Danio rerio: one gene and its partner. The protein of the gene in region 1 purifies or fractionates together with the protein of each later gene. This does not show direct contact. Links are inferred from orthologs where the notes say so. Each region holds a gene or a part of one and is shown on either strand. Other genes may lie near its edges.

Region 1 (10,352 bases):
AAACTAAAACGTATTCATGTAAACTGGACCTAAAACTTGTTTTGTTTGGATCTTGTCCAGTTGTTACATCTTTTAGAGATGTAATTTCTTTTGTTCGTTAAGATTTTTACATCAACTGAGTTGTTTGTGGTTTATGGTTAAAAAAAAATTTAAACACTGAGAAAATCTTTTTTTAAAGTTGTTTATATGAAGTGCTTAGCAATGCACTTTAACTGTTAATTTTTTTAAAATATATTTACAGTAGTAAATTATGATATATTTTTATGGAAGATGATACTTTATACTTTACTTCAAATTCTAATATTTTTGGCATAAAATAAAAAATAATTCTGAGTTCAGTTCCCAAATAACGACATAACTTGTGGCTGAACTATCATAGTACGATGCACCATTTGGGAAAGAACAATGTAATTGGCCTTTTATATTAAAAAACAAAATTGTAAAAACAACAAATAGCTTTTATTACAGCCAATCTAGAAATAAGACATTCATCAGAAGAAATAATATTATAGGAAATAATGTAAAAATTTTCTTTACTGCATTAAACATTTGGATATATTAAAACTTTTGGAAAAAAGAATTAAAATTTCACTGGAGAACTTATCATTTTGCCTTTAACTGTATATGTAGTGTACATATATGTGTGAAAACAGTTTGTTCTTGTAGATTTATGCAGGCATCTCAGAATAGTTTGGTAGCCTACCTTTAATTTAGGGCTAGACCCTGAACTGCTGAGATTTCGTTTCACAAATAACTTGTATGTGGCAGAATCAGGGTTCAGCAAGGCGAAACACCTCCAGGACGCCTTCAGCATGAGAACAGAAGAAACAAGGTCTGACCTTCCTCATAAATGACAAATAATAATCAATTTAACATCTATAAACCACAAGGAGGGACACCTGTATGAGACTCGCAGCTGCAGGAATTTGCCTGTTGAAATGTTTTTGTCTCTGTTTCTGCTGTACCTTCAGAGCAAAACCGGAGCCCAGGATTCCCTGTGGGGAAATACTATCATTCTTCCCATACACTGGCCTGCTGTGCGAGGAACAATTGTTCTGGCTATTAAATCTCTGTTACTTACTGCAGGGAGGGCAAAAAAGGAGATAGCGAAGACAGAGAAACATGATGCAATAGTCTTTCCTATCCAAGTCTGAGGAACCTTGTCTCCGTAGCCAATAGTGGTTACTGTTACCTGCAGAAAAGACATTGACACACAACACCCTTTACTCAACATGATCCAATTCATGGCTGTATGCCTTCAATTATCCACCTCAAAGGCATTGTGTCTATGAAAGGTGTAGGTGGAGATGGACGTACCACACCCCACCACAGAGCATCGGCGTAGCTGCCAAACCCAGAGTTGCCGTGGTCATCCACCGCATCCTTCTCTGCCAGATACACAAAGTAGGAGGAGAAGATGAGCCCCAGGAATCCGATATAGAGAGTTGTGATCAGTTCCTGGAAAGAGGAAACATTCACTAAAAGTTTTCTTGCAGAAAAGTCTTAAAAAGCAAGATTCTTTAACTTTTGATGCATAAAAATATGAATAGAATAGCTCTAAATAGCTCTGAATTGCAACACAAACAAACATGGTGGTCATCTATCAACTAATGTTTTGCATATGGTGAATAAAAAGGAAATATAACAAATACGTATACATTAATCAAGCAAGACAAGCTCAATGAAAATAAAAAATATTAGGTGATATATATTTTTAAAATGGCGACGCAGTGGTGCAGTAGGTAGTGCCTAGGCACATATGGCGTTTCTGTGTGGAGTTTGCATGTTCTCCCTGCGTTTGCGTGGGTTTCCTCCGGGTGCTCCGGTTTCCCCCACAGTCCAAAGACATGCAGTACAGGTGAATTGGGTAAGCTAAATTAACTGTAGTGTGTGTGTGTGTGTGTGTGTGTGTGTGTGTGTGTGTGTGTGTGTGGATGTTTCTCAGAGATGGGTTGCGGCTAGAGGGGTATGCTCTGCGTAAAGACATGCTGGATAAGTTGGCGGTTCGTTCTATTGTGGCGAACCCGGATTAATAAAGGGACTAAGCCGACAAGAAAATGAATGAATAAATATTTTTAAAATACAGAAGTATAAATAGTGCAAGTAGAGTGTTTTTACTGAAAGTCCGAAAAGAAACGATGCACTTCAAAAATATTTAGATGATGCATTAAAATCTGTAAATATGTGGTTCAATGGTGCTTTTGGACTCTAATAGTAAGTTCATACTCTGGACAGTTAAGAGCATAGTGTAATACTAATGTACAGTTAGGTCCAAAAATATTGGGACATCAGCACAATTCAAACATTTGTGGCTCTATACACGAACACAATGGATTTAAAATGGAACGAACAAGAAGTGCTTTAACTGCAAACTGTCAGCTTTAATTTGAGGGTATATAGGCTGCAATTGACTGCAAAAGATTTGCAACCAAGTATTAAAAAGTGAAACTTTGATTTATGATTATTATTCTCTCCCATTACTTTTGGTCCCTTAACAAGTGGGAAGCACATATGCAAACTGTTGTAATTCCTACACTGTTCACCCGATTTGGATGTATATACCCTCAAATTAAAGCTGATAGTCTGCAGTTAAAGCACATCTTGTTCATTTCAGTACAGATCAATTGTGTTGGTGTATTGAAATTGTGTTGATGTTCCAATATTTTTGGACCTGACAGTATATAGTGCATATTTTTGGGAGAATAGTGACTCAGTCAAGCTTCATCATGAAATGCTATCTTTGCCTATGGTCTAAAATATGGGATATTGCTTTTGCAGATACACTCTGAATTATTTAAAGTCTAGACATAAAAGAGAATAGGGCTTCACTGCTATATTTTTGCTTCATTTGAAATGGCTCATAAGAGTCATTTCTCAATAAACTTTAATACATGTGGTACATTTTTTTAGGCTGAGCCCACAAGGACAGCTCATTATTTACTGTTATGCAGTATTTGACATATGATTCAGACTGTATGCTTACTGAAATATCAACAATGGCACTTTATTTTACAGTCCTGTTTCTTCACAGTCATCACAAAAACTGGAAAATAACTAGTAACTAACTCTAAACCTAACCCCGAACCTAATCTTTACAGCTTCTAAGCCAAGTGCAATTCAAGTACATATATTGTAAAATAAAGGGCTTCCTTTTTTTGTTGTACTGCTAAAGATTCCACCAGGTTAAAAGTGTGTGCAGGAAACACTGAGACTAAATTTGGTACTTTAATAATTTAAATCCTTTACCACAACACAGTGACATCTCAATACTTTGTACAAATACAAACCTCCAAGAAGACACAAAAAAAATAGCAAGCACGTATGAAATATTTGACCCAGAATTTGGTAATAACTTGCCATTGAAAGAGTGTGAATTCTAACTGAAACCCTGCAGTGTAAACAGACCGCTGATCAGTGTAATTGGTCCTTTTCATAAACTGCAAACACACATTTCCATGAGAAAAGAATAAATCAATTCTCTATTGACATAAATGCTTAATTATGAAGAGTTTTCACACTGGAGCATAACGTGCGGCTTTCATCACTTCCTGATGATGCTGCAAATGCAACCTCGAAATGTTCTGTGGGGGAGATTAGTTCTCTGGGAACTAGGCTTGCATGAGGCCTAGTTCCTATTCTGTAACTAGCCTATTATCAGGGGCGGACTGGCCATCTGGCAGACTGGGCACTTTCCCGGTGGGCCGACGTACTTTTTGGGCCGGGCTGATCATCGTCTTATGATCTTATCGTCCCATAAAAGGCTTAGCAGCCTATTGTTTTTTTCTGCCTTATTAATTGACGCTGCTGTGATCTGTGACTCTCTGAAAGATGCTTTTTTTCCCCCCCGGACAGACAGACCGGGTCGGCCCATGTGACACTCTGCAGCCCATTGGCTCATTTCTGTATTGACATTGGGGATGGCCCAATCACAAACTCCTATTTTGGGCTCTGTATGAGCGTGCGTCGTCTGTGTTTATTTGTCAAAATAGTCGAGAGTCAGAGAGAAGAAATGCAAGGGAGGCGCAGAGAAATCGCGGGAAATACACCGGCGTTTCATTTTGCAGTTCTGAAAAGTTCTCCGGTCATTCTAGTCACGGCTAAAAACGCAAATCACGTGACCACACACTAATAATAAATAAATAAATATGCAGAGTGAAGATGACGCTCATATAAGTATGCAGCTACACGAGGCTGTTTAGTGTCTGTTAATCACAATATCAAAATGAAACAAATTTGACTTATATTATGTCTTCATTGTTTAGATAGTGAAACAGCAAGCAGGATGAGGTGAAAGAGGATAAAATGTAACACTGTTCCCTTTGAAGATTTACCCATGCATCAGCAGGCAGTTTTTGTTATGTTTATTATTGAATATAGGTTGAGTGAATAGTGTATTGAATAAGCTAAATTGGCCGTAGTGTATGAGTGTGTGTGAATGAGTGTGTATGGGTGATTTCCAATATTGGGTTGGGGCTGGAAATGCATCTGCTGCATAAAACATGCTGGAATAGTTGGCAGTTCATTCCACTGCGGCAACCCCCTGATAAATAAGGGACATATGCGAAGAAAAATGATTGAATAGTGTATTTTTTAGAACTCAACAAATATCTTCATGGACAGTATACAGAAATGAAATTGAGATTAAAGTTTGTATTTATTTATTTCATATATATGGCTTTTGTGTTTTATAAAATATGATTTGATTAAAATACTGGACGTGCATAGATAGATAGCATTTTGATTGAATGTAGTGGGCCACTGTGGCCCAAAATGCCAGGGCCGATTTTTTGCCCCAGTCCAGCCCTGCCTATTATTATTAAGAATGTAGTGCACTGTAATGAATTACAAATCCAAAACACATCGTCTTCACCTGTCGATGTATAAACACTACTGATCCAAGCAACCGCCATGTTCCACCTTGTCGATCCACATGCAGCATTCGCAGAATTTGAAGGAAGCGGACTCCTCTGTAAACAATATCAGCAAGACTTACAACAGTGCAAGAGAATCACTTTAATTTTTGCACATAGTATTAACAATAAACATAGTAAGCAATGGTTTAAATTCAGAAGAGTAGTTTTTTGCACTTTAATATATCCGATAGAATTGACATACATAAAAATAAAAAAAAAGAGTGATCTGGTCGCCAATGGATTACTATGTACAGTTGAAGTCAGAATTAATAGCCCCCCTTTTAATTTTTTTCTTTTTAAAATATGTTTAACAGAGCAAGGATATTTTCACAGTATGTCTGATAATATTTTATCTTCTAGAGAAAGTCTTATTTGTTTTATTTCAGCTAGAAAAAAAGCAGTTCTTAATTTGCAGATTTGTGTCATGGGCAAGGCATCTTTCTGCACAGTGACTCTAGCTTCGTTGCTAAATGGCTAACAAGGATTTTATTGAGATATTAACTCTGCTTTATGTGCTTTAGGAATGCTGAAAAACAGCATATATTTGTTCTGCGCTGTGCCTAAGTCCACTAGATCCTTTCAGAGGTGCACCCAGCTCTGTGAGTTCATCATCTCCTCCAGAAACTACACCTGGATGATGGAGTCTTTTAGCAGTGCTTTAGACTGAGCCAAGCCCAGTTTGATGAGCTGTTATCTGGTGTCAGAAACAGGATTTCCCCATAGGACACCAACAACAGGTACTACATCATAATCATGCCCCTATAAAAGCAAGCTCCTGATTGGTTAACGCAGCGCAACTGTCCCCTCAAATCAGATTTTCCAACTCAAGCAGTTCGCAAAAAACACGTCGTTCGTGCCACCTCAGTCATGCGAAACACGACGCAGGATGTCTATTCTTGTCTTTGGATTGACTTAACATGTAAATCAATCACACTTGCTGCTTTATCCACGTCTGGTGTGAACACAGCATCACAATTAAATACTTTAATTTCACACCACCTGTAAAATCAAAAACTCTATACTGAACTGATTTGGCAGACTAGACAGACAGTAGTTAAACTTGCGAAACGTAGATTTAAAGTTAAAAAAAAAGGTAAACAGAAAGGTCTAAAAGGGCACAACAGAGATTTAGTACCAGGTATAACTGAGAATGTGACTCCATCTATTTTTGATCAAAAAGATCAAAACCCATTTTATACCAGGTGTAAACAGGGCCTGATTAACACAGTACCACAATGTATAAAGAGACCACAGTGACTTATTTGTTATATTAACCTTACCTGACAGCAGAGGTAGCAAATACCTGGCCATTAGAGCCAAATGCCAATACTATAATAGAAGCCACCACCACAATCAGGTCTAGAACAAAAACAAAAGAAATGTAAACACGTCCATAGTAACAACACAATCTAGTTAGGCTTTGTAAACACATCCCAAAAAGTGAAAGTGATTTCATTGTAGACACTCACCAATAACAGAAATTGGCTTTCGGGCAAAGCGAAGCCTGCCCAGAATTCCCACATATTTACTCCGGCATCCAGCTGACCACAGACGGACCACGTACTCCACACCAAAGAACATTACCAGCACTAATTCCTGCAGAATGAAAGAGACAGACACATTGTGCTTACACAAAAGGGCACTAAAGGCATATATTAGTGATATTATGCGCTCGTGACAATGAGAAATTATTGTAAGTGAGACATAACGTGAGATTTATTTGAACAAAACAGTGTGAGGATAAAGAACTAATTGATTCGACTTTGACATCATGTAAAATGCTGTGTTATAATAGAGCGCTGTAAGTATAGAGAGGTCATTTATTTGAGCGATGAGACGTCTGCTTTGAGAATGGATTTAATAACACAGCTTTATTATGTGGGCAATGTGAAAGGCTGTCATTGTAGAGCTCGGCAGCTAGATATCTAGATATTTCTCATGAGGAATAGTATTGCCTTTTTGAAATATTTATGAGGTATACCCAGAACAAAATCCTCCAGTGTGCGCTGTGCACCTATTGCTGAAATCCCATGAACAGACACATAATGAACGCTCTGTTGACAAGATTTTGATTTTTGAATAAATGAACAGAAGAATAGCGTTGGTGCTCCACAAGGCTGTGTATTGTCATCGGTTCTGTTTTCCATTTACACGAATGCATTTCACAAAGTGAATCGGTTACATATTTTCAGTTTGTTGAAGATAATTTTGCATTAATCAAAAGGAGTAGTACTCGTAAAGGTACAGCTTGGAAAATAAGTATTGAACATGTCATGTTTTTTTCCATGAATAATATTTCTAAAGAAGCTGATGATATTGGATTGAACCAGATTTTGGTAAAAACCCAAACAATAAACACATATACATAAAAAAACAAAAAAAAAAATCTGAAAACTACAGTGTGTTACAACAATGGATTGACACACTGAATAAGTACTGAACAACCAAAACACAGTATCTGTTCAACAGAGTGTAAAAATCTTGGTTCTGTGGGTTTTGTCTATCAAATCTGATCCTTATATATTTTTTTCAATTAGATTCAAGTCAGGTGATTGGTTGGGCCATTCTACAGCTTGATTTTCTTTCTCTGAAAGCATTTGAGAGTTTCCTTGGCTGTGTTTTGGATCTTTGTCTTGCTGAAATGTCCACCCTGGTGTTATCTTCATCATCTTTAAATTGTAGATATTGGACTGAAGCAGCTGATAATAATTTACATTGACAAAGGGCAGAGGATTGTTAAATAACTAAAAAGAGATTTCAGTTGCTGTCTGGGCATTCAGTGCCTTTCTACACCTCACTTTCTTCATGTGTTCAATACTTTTTCGCTGTCATTTAATTTTATTATGCATAACTTCATTTGTAAACTAATTAGATTTTTTTCTTTTGCTTATATGGATTTCTTTGTTTTTTACCAACATCCAGGGAACATTTCAAGTCAACAGCACCTTTAGAAATATGTTTTCTGAGAAAAATGGTGATGTGTTCAATACTTATTTTCCCTGCTGTATATTAAATGCTCTTAAAACAAAGAAAATTCTGTTTTAGAGGAAGTAAAAATTATGTTACGCCCTTATTTTGAATAACAATGTCCCTAAAAATATGTCTTAAGCTTCTCCAAACCACAATATCTGCATCTTTAAAGTGGCAGGATAATCCCACGCTAAAAAAGCCTCAAAGATGGCATTTCATAAGGCAGCTCAAAACATTTGGAGTATCTACAACTGGTATGGTCAGGTTTTTGAGCAATGATTGAAAGTGTGCTGACTTTTTCAATAACCGTGTGGTTTAGCAGGTCAACAAAAAAGTCATGTCTATAATACAGTGCAAACTGACTCAAAAATTATAGGCCATGATCCGCCTTCTATGGATGAAATTTATGTCATGCATTTGCAGGAAAAAAGGCTTGACAATACTTAGAGATTCGACACATTCAGCTAGACATCTTTTCACATCTTTACCCTTAGGCAGACGATTTAGACTGCACACCTTTTGAACGGCACCTACTCTATATGGTTCATGATTTAAAAACACTTCTGGCTCTAATGTATCTGTATTTATTTTGTTTTAATTGAACTGAATTGAATTTAATTTATAATGTTTGTACAAATGTGTTTGTGTTTATAGCTCGCTGCAAAATTCCGGACAATTATGCTTTACACACCTTCACATGATTTACATACCTTTACATACCAAAATATTTTACAAATTGTAAAAATGTTACCTGCTTTTGACATTTCAGACCTTGTTTTTTCTTTCTAAATATTTACAATCGATATATATATATATATATATATATATATATATATATATATATATATATATATATATATATATATATATATAAATAAAAACTCTTATTAAATTCATACACTAGAAGATTCAGTGCATAGTGCAAAAGATATTGTATAATGTGTATAGCTAATAGTGTGTCTTTTGTGACAGAACTAGTGCTTCAGTCATCCTTTATTACGAAACGCTACTTTTGCAAATGTGTAAAATATAGGACATTTTTATGCTGATCTATTCAAAACCATTAATTTAAACACCTGGCTTAAAAAAGAATACAGTAACACTGATATGCTTTTGCATCACTAATCTCTTAATGAACTGGAATAAGTGTTTTAAATATACCAAATATTTTAGTCATGCATGGATTGTAGTTTGCATAGCATAAAGCAAACAACCTTAATATACATGGCATGCTTGTAACAGATGCGTATTTAGACCTCACAGTATCAGCACAGGGTTGTGTGAAAACATGGGACGGCTGGTTCATGGTCATGGCCAACAACAGCAGTTGCCCTCGTCTGCTTCTTAAAGAAGCGAAAACAAAGGAAGGCTGCGAGTCTGCTGAGCGCAGGCCCTTTGAGAGCTGCGAGAAACCAGACATGTATGAGTTATGAGGCTGGCCGTGAAGCCCACTGTCACATAAGCAGTCTGGAGAGCTGCATGTGGGTCTGAAGGAGCTTGGTCAGCTGCCTGGGGACGCTTTCTGGCACGGGGCCGGATGAGTTCGCTTGCCTAGCCCGCCTAAATCTTCTCTGAAAATTCAATGAAAATTACAGGCACAGCCCTAGCCTGTGGGAACAGGCAAAACATGAAGGGGTAAAACACATAGTGACAGAAAATTGAGTGGAACCAGCAGAGGAGAGACTGTGCGCAGCTTGACTGAAAGTAGGCCATCTCGCTGTTTACAAAGTCAAATGCAGTTTATGTGTAGGAATATTTCAGAAAAGCACAAAAACCTGCTACTAGACTCATCACTATTTCTTATGCTGTAAATAAATATGACAATACAAATAGTTTCCAATAAGACCCTGTAATGTGCAAACATGGACCAACCCATAGATTTCCATCATAAAAATGAAAATGTATTCTACAGCCTTTTAATTGCAGAGTGAATTTAATTAAGTATATTGTAAGTATCTGTGGATTAAGTTTATAATTTTATATTGTTGATGTACATGTGTTACAACAACAATAAAATTACAATTAAAGGGTTATATAATATAATATAATATAATATAATATAATATAATATAATATAATATAATACAATCACAAGGTTATTTCCAAATGTAAGTGATCCAATATATATGTCATACACTGTAAACCCCCCTACCCCCCATTTGCCGTTTCTGTGTGGAGTTTGCATGTTCTCTCTGCGTTCGTGTGGGTTTCCTCCGGGTACTCCGGTTTCCCCCACAGTCTAAAGACATGCGGTACAGGTAAATTTGGTTGGCTAAATTGTTCGTAGTGTATGAGTGTGTGTGTCTGTGTATGTGTGGATGTTTCCCAGAGATGGGTTGCGGCTGGAAGGGCATCCGCTGCGTAAAAACTTGCTGGATAAGTTGGAGGTTTATTCCACTGTGGCGACCCCAGATTAATAAAGGGACTAAGCCGACAAGAAAATTAATGAATAAAAACCCAAAAAGTTTA
Region 2 (10,352 bases), on another chromosome or scaffold:
AGTGATTCTAGATTCATTGTGACTGCAAATTCACACTGAAGAACCAAAATGACTTCAGGTTCATACTGAAGCAGAGTGACTCCAGATTTGCTGTAGGGACGAGCTGTAATCTGATATGTTAGCAGCAGGCCGATTATAAACAATAGATATTGCACCAGGTGAATGAGTGCTTATAAAAGAAAAAAAAAAAGATAATCACATTCAAGTTCACAAATAGACGTGTTATGACCCTAGTGTGTGATCAATAAAGTGCCCTTTTAGGTACAGTGGTGTTAAAAGAAACAAAGAAAGAAAGAAAGACAGAAAGAAGGAAAGTTTACGACCTGAAAGTCTACAAGACTTGCAGTGTTGAATCACAGCGCTTTTTTTAAGATAGCTTCACTCTGTGTCGTTCTTTAATACTTCAAACACGTACAGTAAAAGAGTCCAACCGCTTCTTTCCCAGAAACAAAACTCATTTACAGCATTATGAACAGGTATAATCATAATAAAGATAAGAACAATACTTTTACAATTGAAGAAAACCCTCTCCGTCAAAACCACTTTGCCGATCTTTGCTCTGAACTGAGAAGAATAGCTTTAGAATTACTACGCAATCATATTGAAACACAAGATACATGTGCATGCCAGTTTTCATAGCAATACAATAATCATGTCGATCATGTTTTTTTTTTTTTTGTCTTTTTTGTTTTTTTACCCACGATGATATGAATTTTGAATATAGCCAGGCCACTGATGCATTTCTGATAATGTTGTCGTTTAAAATAGTAAACCACATTGTTGGTACAAATATCCGTTTACTCTGTAAGATAATTATAATAACAGCGAGAATAATAAACTATTAAAAACAACTGCTTGCTTCTTGGCATTGCGAAAGACGATAAAAAAATAATCCTCGACCAAGGAAGGAAGGAAACTTGGCGTATTTTGTGGGATAAGGGAGGATGAGGATTGGGACCTTCATCCTGGCTGTCATTCCTAAGGTAATCTGGTGTTAGTTAAACCTGATAAAAGAGTTCGTTGTTGCCACTTTGCTGAACGTAATGCAAAAAAGGGTGGTTTTTAATGCTGGATCAAGGCCACACCCATTCTGAGGCCACACCCACTGGGGGCTTCAAATACTGGAGTTTAGAATCCATAGCTGAATTTAAAAATAAAACATGTCAGGAAAGATTGTGATTTTGTCAGGAAAGATCTTGACGTACTGCAGGACTGTTTGTTTGACAGGGTTGACAGCTAATGCCGTTCCAGCTAGACAGATACATGCATATACTGCTGACATCACACACACCTGCGGCTGCTGCAATCTGGCTGTACAATGGCAACTCGAGAAAGAGAGAGTGTGTATGTGAGTTTAGATATGTGTGTGTTGTACATGTCTTTGCTCGTCGGTTGCATTAGGAGATCAGGTGTATAAAACAGGGGAGGGGGGTTCTTTAGTCGACGCCCTCAAAGCCTTGAGCGTTTTCCACCGCCATCAGAAGCTTCTCTCGCAGGTCTTCAAACGTTTCATACATTGGGAGGTCCAAGCGATTAAAGCTGAATGGGGAGAAAATGGAATTGTTCAAAAACGCATTCAGCGCATTAGCAGTAGTAAATCTGTGAAAGCCAGCATGGAATAACAAATACGAAATGTATTATGTATGTACAATTTGTAATGAAATATTGTGAGAAAAAAAAGGTTTTTATCTAACAATTAAAATATAATATTTTACAATTCTGATTTATAAAATTTGTATTAAACGTATTAAAGTAAAATTTTTAAACTTTTTTTTCTAACTTAACTCTTTTTCTGACTTCTAAAAACGCAAATATTTTTTTCTGACTTCTAAAAACGCTAATGTTTTTTTTTTCTGATATCTAAAAATGTGAATTTCTTTTCTGACTTAACTCTTTCTGATTCTAAAAATGAAAAAAAAAAAAAATTCTGACTTCTAAAAATGTGACTTTTTTTTTTTTTTTTAAACTTGGCTATTTCATGACTTCTAAAATTTTAACTTTTCTTTCCGACTTCTTGTAAGTATTTTTTCTGACTTCTAAAAATGTGAACTGTTGGTTTTGCCAATTTCAGACTGCATGATTTTCGAAGTAGTCGTGTCACAGATGTTTTCACACTGCATGACTATCTGGGCTAGCTTTTCGTCGCTGCTTTGTTTACACTGCAAGATGGATCAGCGACAGGGACATTCACATTGTATGACTTTACTATAGGAAGAATCGCTGACAACTTCATCCAAACTATGTCTCACAGCCAAAAACACGTAGTATATCTTTTGTTATTAACTACATAATGAGAAAGAAGCCTTTAATGGGGTTGAACATGTACATGTTTGCTCACCTGGGTTTAAAGGGAATTAGCCATTTCTCCTCAACATTGACAATAAACTAATTTCTTTCTGTATGAAACGTCAAACAGACACAGTTGCTCCTGAGTCCTGTTAAACCTCCACTAGTTTTTCCTCCATTTCATGGGTCCAAATAAACCGAAAAAGAGCGCTTTTAACTTCTCCCCCAGCCTCCCGCTAGCCTTCAGCAGGTATACACACACACACACACAAGTGAATGCTGCTCTCTCATTGGCTGTAGGCGATGGCTGATGTTATTTTCAGTCAAAACTCAATTCACACGGCATGATTTGAATCGCCGACAGCTCCAGATATTTAGCATGCCAAATATCTCACAGGCATCGGCGACTCATCTGCGATTCTCTCAGATCGCGTCTTTGAAAGTTCATACTGTGTGATTGTCACTCACGTGCACGAGCAGCGATTTGCCTGTGATTTCAGGCATTTGTCGGCGATTTCTCAAAACCTGTCGGCGAGCCAAAATCGGGGCTAAAATCACGCAGTCTGAACTAGGCATTACACTTTATTTTGATGGTTCATTTAATGAATTAAGTTACATTGCATACATGCCAACTAATTCTCATTAAATTATAAGTAGACTGTTAAGTTGGGGTTAGGGTTAGCCTAGGTTGACATGTACATGCAAAGTTTCTTATAGTCAGTTAATATCTGTTGAAGGAGCAGTAACACAAAATAAAGTGTTACCGAATGTTTTTTTCTGACTTAAAAATTTTAACTTATCTTTTGACTTTTTCTGACCTCTTAATGTGAATTTTTTTCTGACTTTTAAAAATGTTCACTTTTTCAAAAACTTTTGGCTATTTCCTGACTTCTAAAATATTTTTTTTTCCTGACTTCTAAAAATGTGAACTTTATTTCTGACTTCTAAAAATGTGAACTTTATTTCTGACTTCTAAAATGTGAACTTTATTTCTGACTTCTAAAATGTGAACTTTATTTCTGACTTCTAAAATGTGAACTTTATTTCTGACTTCTAAAATGTGAACTTTATTTCTGACTTCTAAAAATGTGAACTTTATTTCTGACTTCTAAAAATGGGAACTTTATTTCTGACTTCTAAAATGTGAACTTTATTTCTGACTTCTAAAAATGTGAACTTTATTTCTGACTTCTAAAAATGTGAACTTTATTTCTGACTTCTAAAAATGTAACTTTTTTCACCAGATTCAATTACTTTTAAAGCACCATTTATTTTTAAATCAAGAACCTTTGTAATTCACATCCGAGCATATGTAGCACCATAAAAGTCCTCACTGCACTTAATTCACATGCAAATAATTTTTTAACCGTTTTAAAAAGTAATTTTGAAAGAACTTTAATAAAATTTGTTGAATTCAATACTGGTTATATTCATCTGCAGTTACAGAAACATTAAGATGTGCATTTTATGTCATTTTTACATTCTGCTTTTGACAATTGAGTCCAGTTCTTGAATAAATCATAAATAAATTTAATTTCAAATTTAATTCAAGCACTGTCAAGGACCTCTATTTTTAAGTACGTCCCAGGCCTTAAATCCATATGTCTGAAATTTAAGTACTTTTAAGTACTTTCAAGAAGCCTGGCAACCTTGTAAAAATGTGAACTTTTTCTGACTTCTAAAAATTTGAACTTTTTTCTGACTTTTTTCTGATCAAATTAAAATCATATCGACAAGATAGAGTATCTATTGTTTCAACTACAAATGCTCTTTTAATAACTTGAGTTTTTACCTTATTTTAAAAATACAAAGTGAAAGATAACTCACAACAGGTTTTTGTTAAATACAGTAGAATATTCTCTTTGTAAATGCGCCAAATAAAAACAATTATTTTAATACTATATAATACATTAAAATCTCCCAGAGAGTTTAAGATAACCTATAATGATGTGTTTACATGAATAAAGTGTTGAAACCCTACAGGTCTTACCAGGTGTGAGCCCGAGGGAGTTTGTCAGGAGTTCCCCACTGCTCAATAGTAAACAACTGCGGCCCATTGGAACCTGCAATAGACCACATGACTTGTCAAGAACCAATTAGAAAAGGGGCAAACTTGTTCTATAGGTCTCAAATGGGAACACCAAGATGCTACAAACAGACCGTCTTCATGATATTGCCAAGGGAAATGACTCTAGTTGCAGTACTAATAGTGATGTTTTCTGAATGATCATTTTAGTTTTCCACAATATACTAGAACATATTTATGCATGTTATAAATGATATATACTTATTAGTCATGTTTTTTGTATACATAGAGCTTTTTTCTGTTATTATATTATAAATTAACAATTTGAGAGAGAGAGAGAGAGAGAGATTTGAATTATTGCCATATCAGCTTCTCTGCCTATTTCATGGCAAAACCAGATCAAATTTACAACCTTTTATCAAATAATAATACAAAATGATTGCAATAAAAAGACATCAACAGCAATAAATAATACATTAGGTAAAATACACAAATAATAAGAACAATAATATAAAAGATAAAAATGTAAAACAGTTTAAGGTTTGCTTTTGATAAAAAAGTTGTGCAATTTTAAAAGGAATCACTGTTAAAATATTTCATTTAAAGTCTTTCCAGATAAAAACTGTTGTCTGATAACATTAAAAATAGGGCACTCCACAAAGTATATGTTTAACAATTTGCTTTCTGTCGCAATATTGACATTTCGGGGGTTTTAAATGAACAATATAGCACAGGTGTGACCCTGGACCATAAATGAAGATATTTTGTTCATTTCCTATTGTAAATATACTGAAACTTAATTTTTAGTTAGTAATATGCTTTGCTATCAACTTCATTTAGACAATTTTAAAGGGGATTTTCTCTTTTATTTTAAGCCTCAGATTCCGGATTTTCAAGCAGATGTATCTTAACAAACCATACATCATTAATGAATTGAGATTTTGACAATATCTGAAAACATTTTTGATGTTTGAAAATAACTGGAATATATGACATATTAGCCAGGGCATATCTACTATACATATATGTGGCAGTGTATGTAGAGTTTTACCGTAGAGTTCAGCAAAGCCGTTCATTGGCACTCTGGATGTTCCAGTGACAAACTGTAGAAGCCTGATGCGCTTTTCTGCATCCATTAACAACACAGCCTAATGGAGACCATAAGAGAAATACAGTTATACCACTAACTAGCAGTCAATGAGCTTAAAATTATTACATAGACAAAACAGTGTTGGAACTTTTGAAGAAATACATACAGTAGATTCACGTTTAAATAACCATCAATAAAAAAAATCATTGACATAAAGCTTTCTACTTAATGTACTCAAAACAGCCACAATACACATGCACTGCATTTAGATAAACATTCTCGAGTGTCAATATAAAAACCTTCATATTCTATTGTAAAATGTATTTATTACTTCTATAGCACTTTTACCATGTAGATTGCAGCTTAACATATATATTACTTGACAAATGTCTTGTCGCCTACCCAAGTTTTTGGAACAAAAAACAATAACTTGACTTGTAGTTGATCATTTGGTATTAGAAGTGGCTTCTATTAAAGACATAGGCCTCTAGTATTAGTGTTAATATTGTGTATGACTCCCATGAGCTTGGACGGCTGCATCCATACATCTCTGCAATGACTCAAATCACTTATTAATAAAGTCATCTGGAATGACAAAAGTGTTCTTGCAGGACTCCCAGAGTTCATAAAGATTCTTTGGAATCATCTTCAATGCCTCCATCTTACCCCAGACATGCTCAGTAATGTTCATGTCTGGTGACTGGGCTGGCCAATCCTGGAGCATCTTAACCTTTTTTCTTTCAGGAACTTTGATGTGGAGGCTGAAATATGAGGAGCAGCGCTATCCTGCTGAAGAATTTGCCCTCTCCTGTGGTTTGTAATGTAATGGCAGCACAAATGTCTTGATACCTCAGGCTGTTAATGTTGCCATCCACTCTGCAGATATCTCACATGCCCCAACACTGAATGTAATCCCAAACCATGAATTTTCCTTCACCAAACTTTCACCAAACTGTGAGAATCTTAGGTCCATGCAGGCTCCAATAGGTCTTCTGCAGTATTTGTGATTCATCAGAAAAATCGACCTTCTGCTACTTTTCCAAGGGATCAACTAGAAGGTATTTGTTGCTCTTACAACTGGGATTAACTTTTGTTAGGTAGTGTATATGGAGAAAAGTGTCAAATCCTAAATATTTCAAATTGTGGAACATTCTAGCAATTCAGGAGCGCAAACAAGTAGTGTGAACTAAAATTCAGGAAAAAAAAAAAAAAAAAAACGCTGAATCATTTTTGCTACTTTTATGCCCTATTTTTAATTAGAGAGGACTTGAATTCATGAAGATAAGATTGGAAAAAGTTAGATTTTGTTGGAATTTTGGATCAACACCTATCTTATGTTAAGAAAAGATCTACATTGAGTGTGATTTAAAGATCCTGTTTTATGTTTTGCATATATAAATGTGCATATATATATATATATATATATATATATATATATATATATATATATATATATATGTGGAAAGAGCAGCTCAGGCTTCAGACGCTGATAAGGAGTTGCTAATGCCTCTTTCATCACAGCAAACACTGGATGAGCCTCACATCAAACAGACTTTGATCAGTGCACTGGGCTGGAGGTCACACACACGCACGCACGCATGCATAAGTTGGAATACATTTGATTGAGATCACGTCTCACGAGTTGAGTTTTTCAATACGATACACTGTTTTTTTATGATTTATTTAGTTCATCTAGACTTTATGAAGCACTTTGGCTGTTTATGAACAACTGGTGGTTGTTTATAAATGTATTATGTAATATAGAAAAATTGAAATGTAACATTTTTAAACCTAATGGATTATGTTCCAATGCCTCAAATTAAAAGTAGAGAATTTGGCTATATACAAATCTTAAGGAAAAAAAACATTTTTTGTAATCCTCAATGCATTTCAGTTTGTGATGCATAAAATAAATCATAAAAATCAGAAAATGAAGGAACAAAACTAAAATTTGCGAGTTTACTAAAAATGAAAATTCTGTTATATTTTCCTCACCATTGCCTTTTAACCATTCAGTTTCTTTCTACTGTCAAACACAACCAAAGATATTCTGAAGAAAGCTGGAAACCTGTAACCATTGACTGATAATATATTTAGTCCTTCTATGTAAGTAAATGGTTACCAGTTTCCAAAAATATCTTCTTTTGGGTCTTTCAGAAGAAATTCAAACAGGTTTATAACGATTTATAGGGTGTCAACAGTGACATTATTTATTTTGGGGTGAACTGTCTCTTTATAAATGCGTAATACCATACTAATACAGAATGATTGCGTCTAAACTTATGATGCATACAAAACACACAGATTTTTAACGCTTGTACTTGCCTTCCAGAACCACTGGATGACGGGGTGATTTGGACAGTAGCCGTTCTTATAGACAGTGTGTTGCCTCCAGTCATTGACATCCACATCTCCCAGACCACACATCAACAGCTGGAGAAACAGACAATATTACACACATTAATATTAACTTTACACTCATCATCCTCTAGATCACCCTATATTCCCTACATCCATGCTGAATGTACAGTGCTCAGCATAAATGAGTACACCCCATTTTGAAAATTAATATTTGTATCCATTTTTTGGGAATATGGGTAATATATTTTGGTGCATTTAAACAAAACAGATTTATTAAACAGATATATTTATTAAAATATAATTTTAGTCACCGAACATTCATGCAAAATATTACAAAACAAAATTACAACCCACATTCCGACAAAGGTTTATATATATTTTTAGTTTCTTTTGGTTTTTGCTATTTTTTAAAATGTTATTTAATATTTTTCCCTCACATACAAATTTGAGCTACTTTTTTAACCCTTAACGTAGGTTATTTTGTTAGATTAGCTCCAGATTTGGTATTAGACTGAATAATATATATGCACAAATATAATATTGTAAATCATCTTATAGATAATATTATTTTAAATGAGAGATTTGTGGGGGGTGTACTTATAAAAGCTGAGCACTGTATATTATAATTATTTTTTTAGAAATTTTAATAATCGGTCAATAACTTAAAAGTAAATATTATATTGTCATGCATTAGGAAAGTAATGAACAGAAACTAAATAGTCTTTATGAATTTGTGTTTCTATACCTAAATTTGAGCTAGCACATTCACCCCATTCGCAGAAGTTGTAACATTCAACTATTGATGGCAAGCAAATCTAATAATAATATGAATAATAATAATAATGTGCTGTACAAATGTTATGCCCTTCTTGTGAATTTGGTTTTAAAACTACTACATAACTAAAGAGCTTACACATGCTGGCAGTCTGACCATTAAAAAAATGAAAATAAAGCCCAAAACACAAAGCCCCAATAAAAAAAAAAAAAAAAAAAAATCATTAAAAAACACAGACACACATAAACAACAGAAAAAACCTCCTGAAAAAACTAAACAAAACAGCCCACCCAAAAAAACAACTCCATAAAAACAAAATGCAAAAACAAAAAACAAAACATCTTTCCCATAAAAAACAACTACTCCCTAAAAAGTAAAAACACAAACAAATCACACAAAAATACACCCCCACCCCACCACAAAATAACCCCCAAAACAGCTAAACCAAATACAAAAAACAAACAAAAAAATCCCAAAAAAACAAACACGCAAACAAAAAGGCAGCCCTTCCCCCAATAACCAAACAAACACACGTGTCAAACACTTAAAATGTTGTATATAAATCAGGTATTCCAAAAACAGTTTCACTCTGCTGAAATCATGCAGCAAATACACTGCATTATAAATAATACAGCAGACTCTCTACTGGCTGTCAGACTGAGCCCACAGTATATGGTTTTATCTTTTATCTATTTATTATCTGCTGCAACGATGAAATTAAGTGTGATGTTCACTCCCTGTGCAAACACCAGCTCAGAGAGAAATGCATGAGTGAAGAAATGATTCATTCAACAAAACAGAGACACTTTGATAAGTGTGTTAGCTATAAAGGATTATTTTTTAAAAATAAAAACAGCAGAGTATAATGTGGGAAGCCAATACCTCCAGTTCGTTTTCATCAAAAATCTTTATTAAGTCGATGGGAATGAGTTCAGTGAAGCCCTGTTGAGCAGATATAAGACATGATCATTATATCACACTGGAATGCTGTTATTACTGTTAATCAAACTTCTGCCTCCACCTAGTGGCAACAGCTAGAACTACAGGAAACTGTTTAACTGATCACGTACTTCCAAAAAGGCGTTCATCTGTTTCTGGACCCTGTTCACAAACCTCCACTGAATCACCAGACTGTACAGAGTCACAAAAGGATATTGTTAATAAAACATAATGTATACCATTTGTAGGGTTTTGCATATGGAGCAAGAGAAACAAACACTCACTCGATGTATTCCTTCTTGTTGTCGTTGGTTACAACCATGTCTGATCCGCTTGGCTTCAAATCTACCTGATATGTCTATTAATATAAAAATGCATGGTCAAAATAAATGCATGTACTCAATAGCAGATTCTGAAATATTTAAAATGGCTTAAAACTAATAAAAAGAAACACAGTAATGGTTAAAAGTGATGTTTGAAGAGGAATTTTGCACAGTATGTTTATATGACACATACATTTGATTAAATCATTATATATACATATTTATTTTTGTTCTAAATGTAAAAAAATTATGAATATAAAATAAATAAACTAATATATTAAATATAAAGCTAAACTTGGTTAAATTAACAGACAATAAGCAAGCAAATAAAGGCAATCTACAGTTAGATTACAGTGCAGTTCATAAAATATGGGACTGGGCAATATTTAAAAAAAAACATACACAAAGTACAAATTGATCACAGTATAATCTCGACTGATCTGGGATAGACTTCAGTAACCTACAGTATTTAATACCAGATAAAAAAAAGTATTGCAGGCCCTTCAGGACAAACTATATTTATTCTCAGAGCCATTTCAGTAAAAAAAAAAC

Evidence for each region. Proteins that work in one complex are often made in the same cells at the same time.
Region 2: the proteins of kcnq1.1 (region 1) and nedd4l purify together in Homo sapiens (affinity purification with western blotting, with the first as the bait; 3 studies listed by BioGRID). This does not show direct contact. The link is inferred for Danio rerio from reciprocal best matches to the Homo sapiens genes KCNQ1 and NEDD4L.

Annotation. Positions count from the first base shown.
Region 1 is NC_133182.1:50,425,352-50,435,703, reverse strand, and holds part of kcnq1.1 (potassium voltage-gated channel subfamily KQT member 1.1), read right to left. Parts: intron 6,510-10,352; coding exon 6,383-6,509; intron 6,273-6,382; coding exon 6,194-6,272; intron 4,968-6,193; coding exon 4,871-4,967; intron 1,459-4,870; coding exon 1,318-1,458; intron 1,193-1,317; coding exon 1,082-1,192; intron 996-1,081; coding exon 900-995; intron 806-899; coding exon 704-805; intron 1-703. UniProt on the Homo sapiens protein: Pore-forming subunit of the voltage-gated potassium (Kv) channel involved in the regulation of cardiomyocyte excitability and important in normal development and functions of myocardium, inner ear, stomach and colon.
Region 2 is NC_133196.1:12,255,793-12,266,144, forward strand, and holds part of nedd4l (E3 ubiquitin-protein ligase NEDD4-like), read right to left. Parts: intron 9,836-10,352; coding exon 9,762-9,835; intron 9,670-9,761; coding exon 9,609-9,669; intron 9,481-9,608; coding exon 9,421-9,480; intron 7,836-9,420; coding exon 7,728-7,835; intron 5,461-7,727; coding exon 5,364-5,460; intron 4,350-5,363; coding exon 4,277-4,349; intron 1,540-4,276; coding exon 1,437-1,539; 3' UTR 1-1,436. UniProt on the Homo sapiens protein: E3 ubiquitin-protein ligase that mediates the polyubiquitination of lysine and cysteine residues on target proteins and is thereby implicated in the regulation of various signaling pathways including autophagy, innate immunity or DNA repair.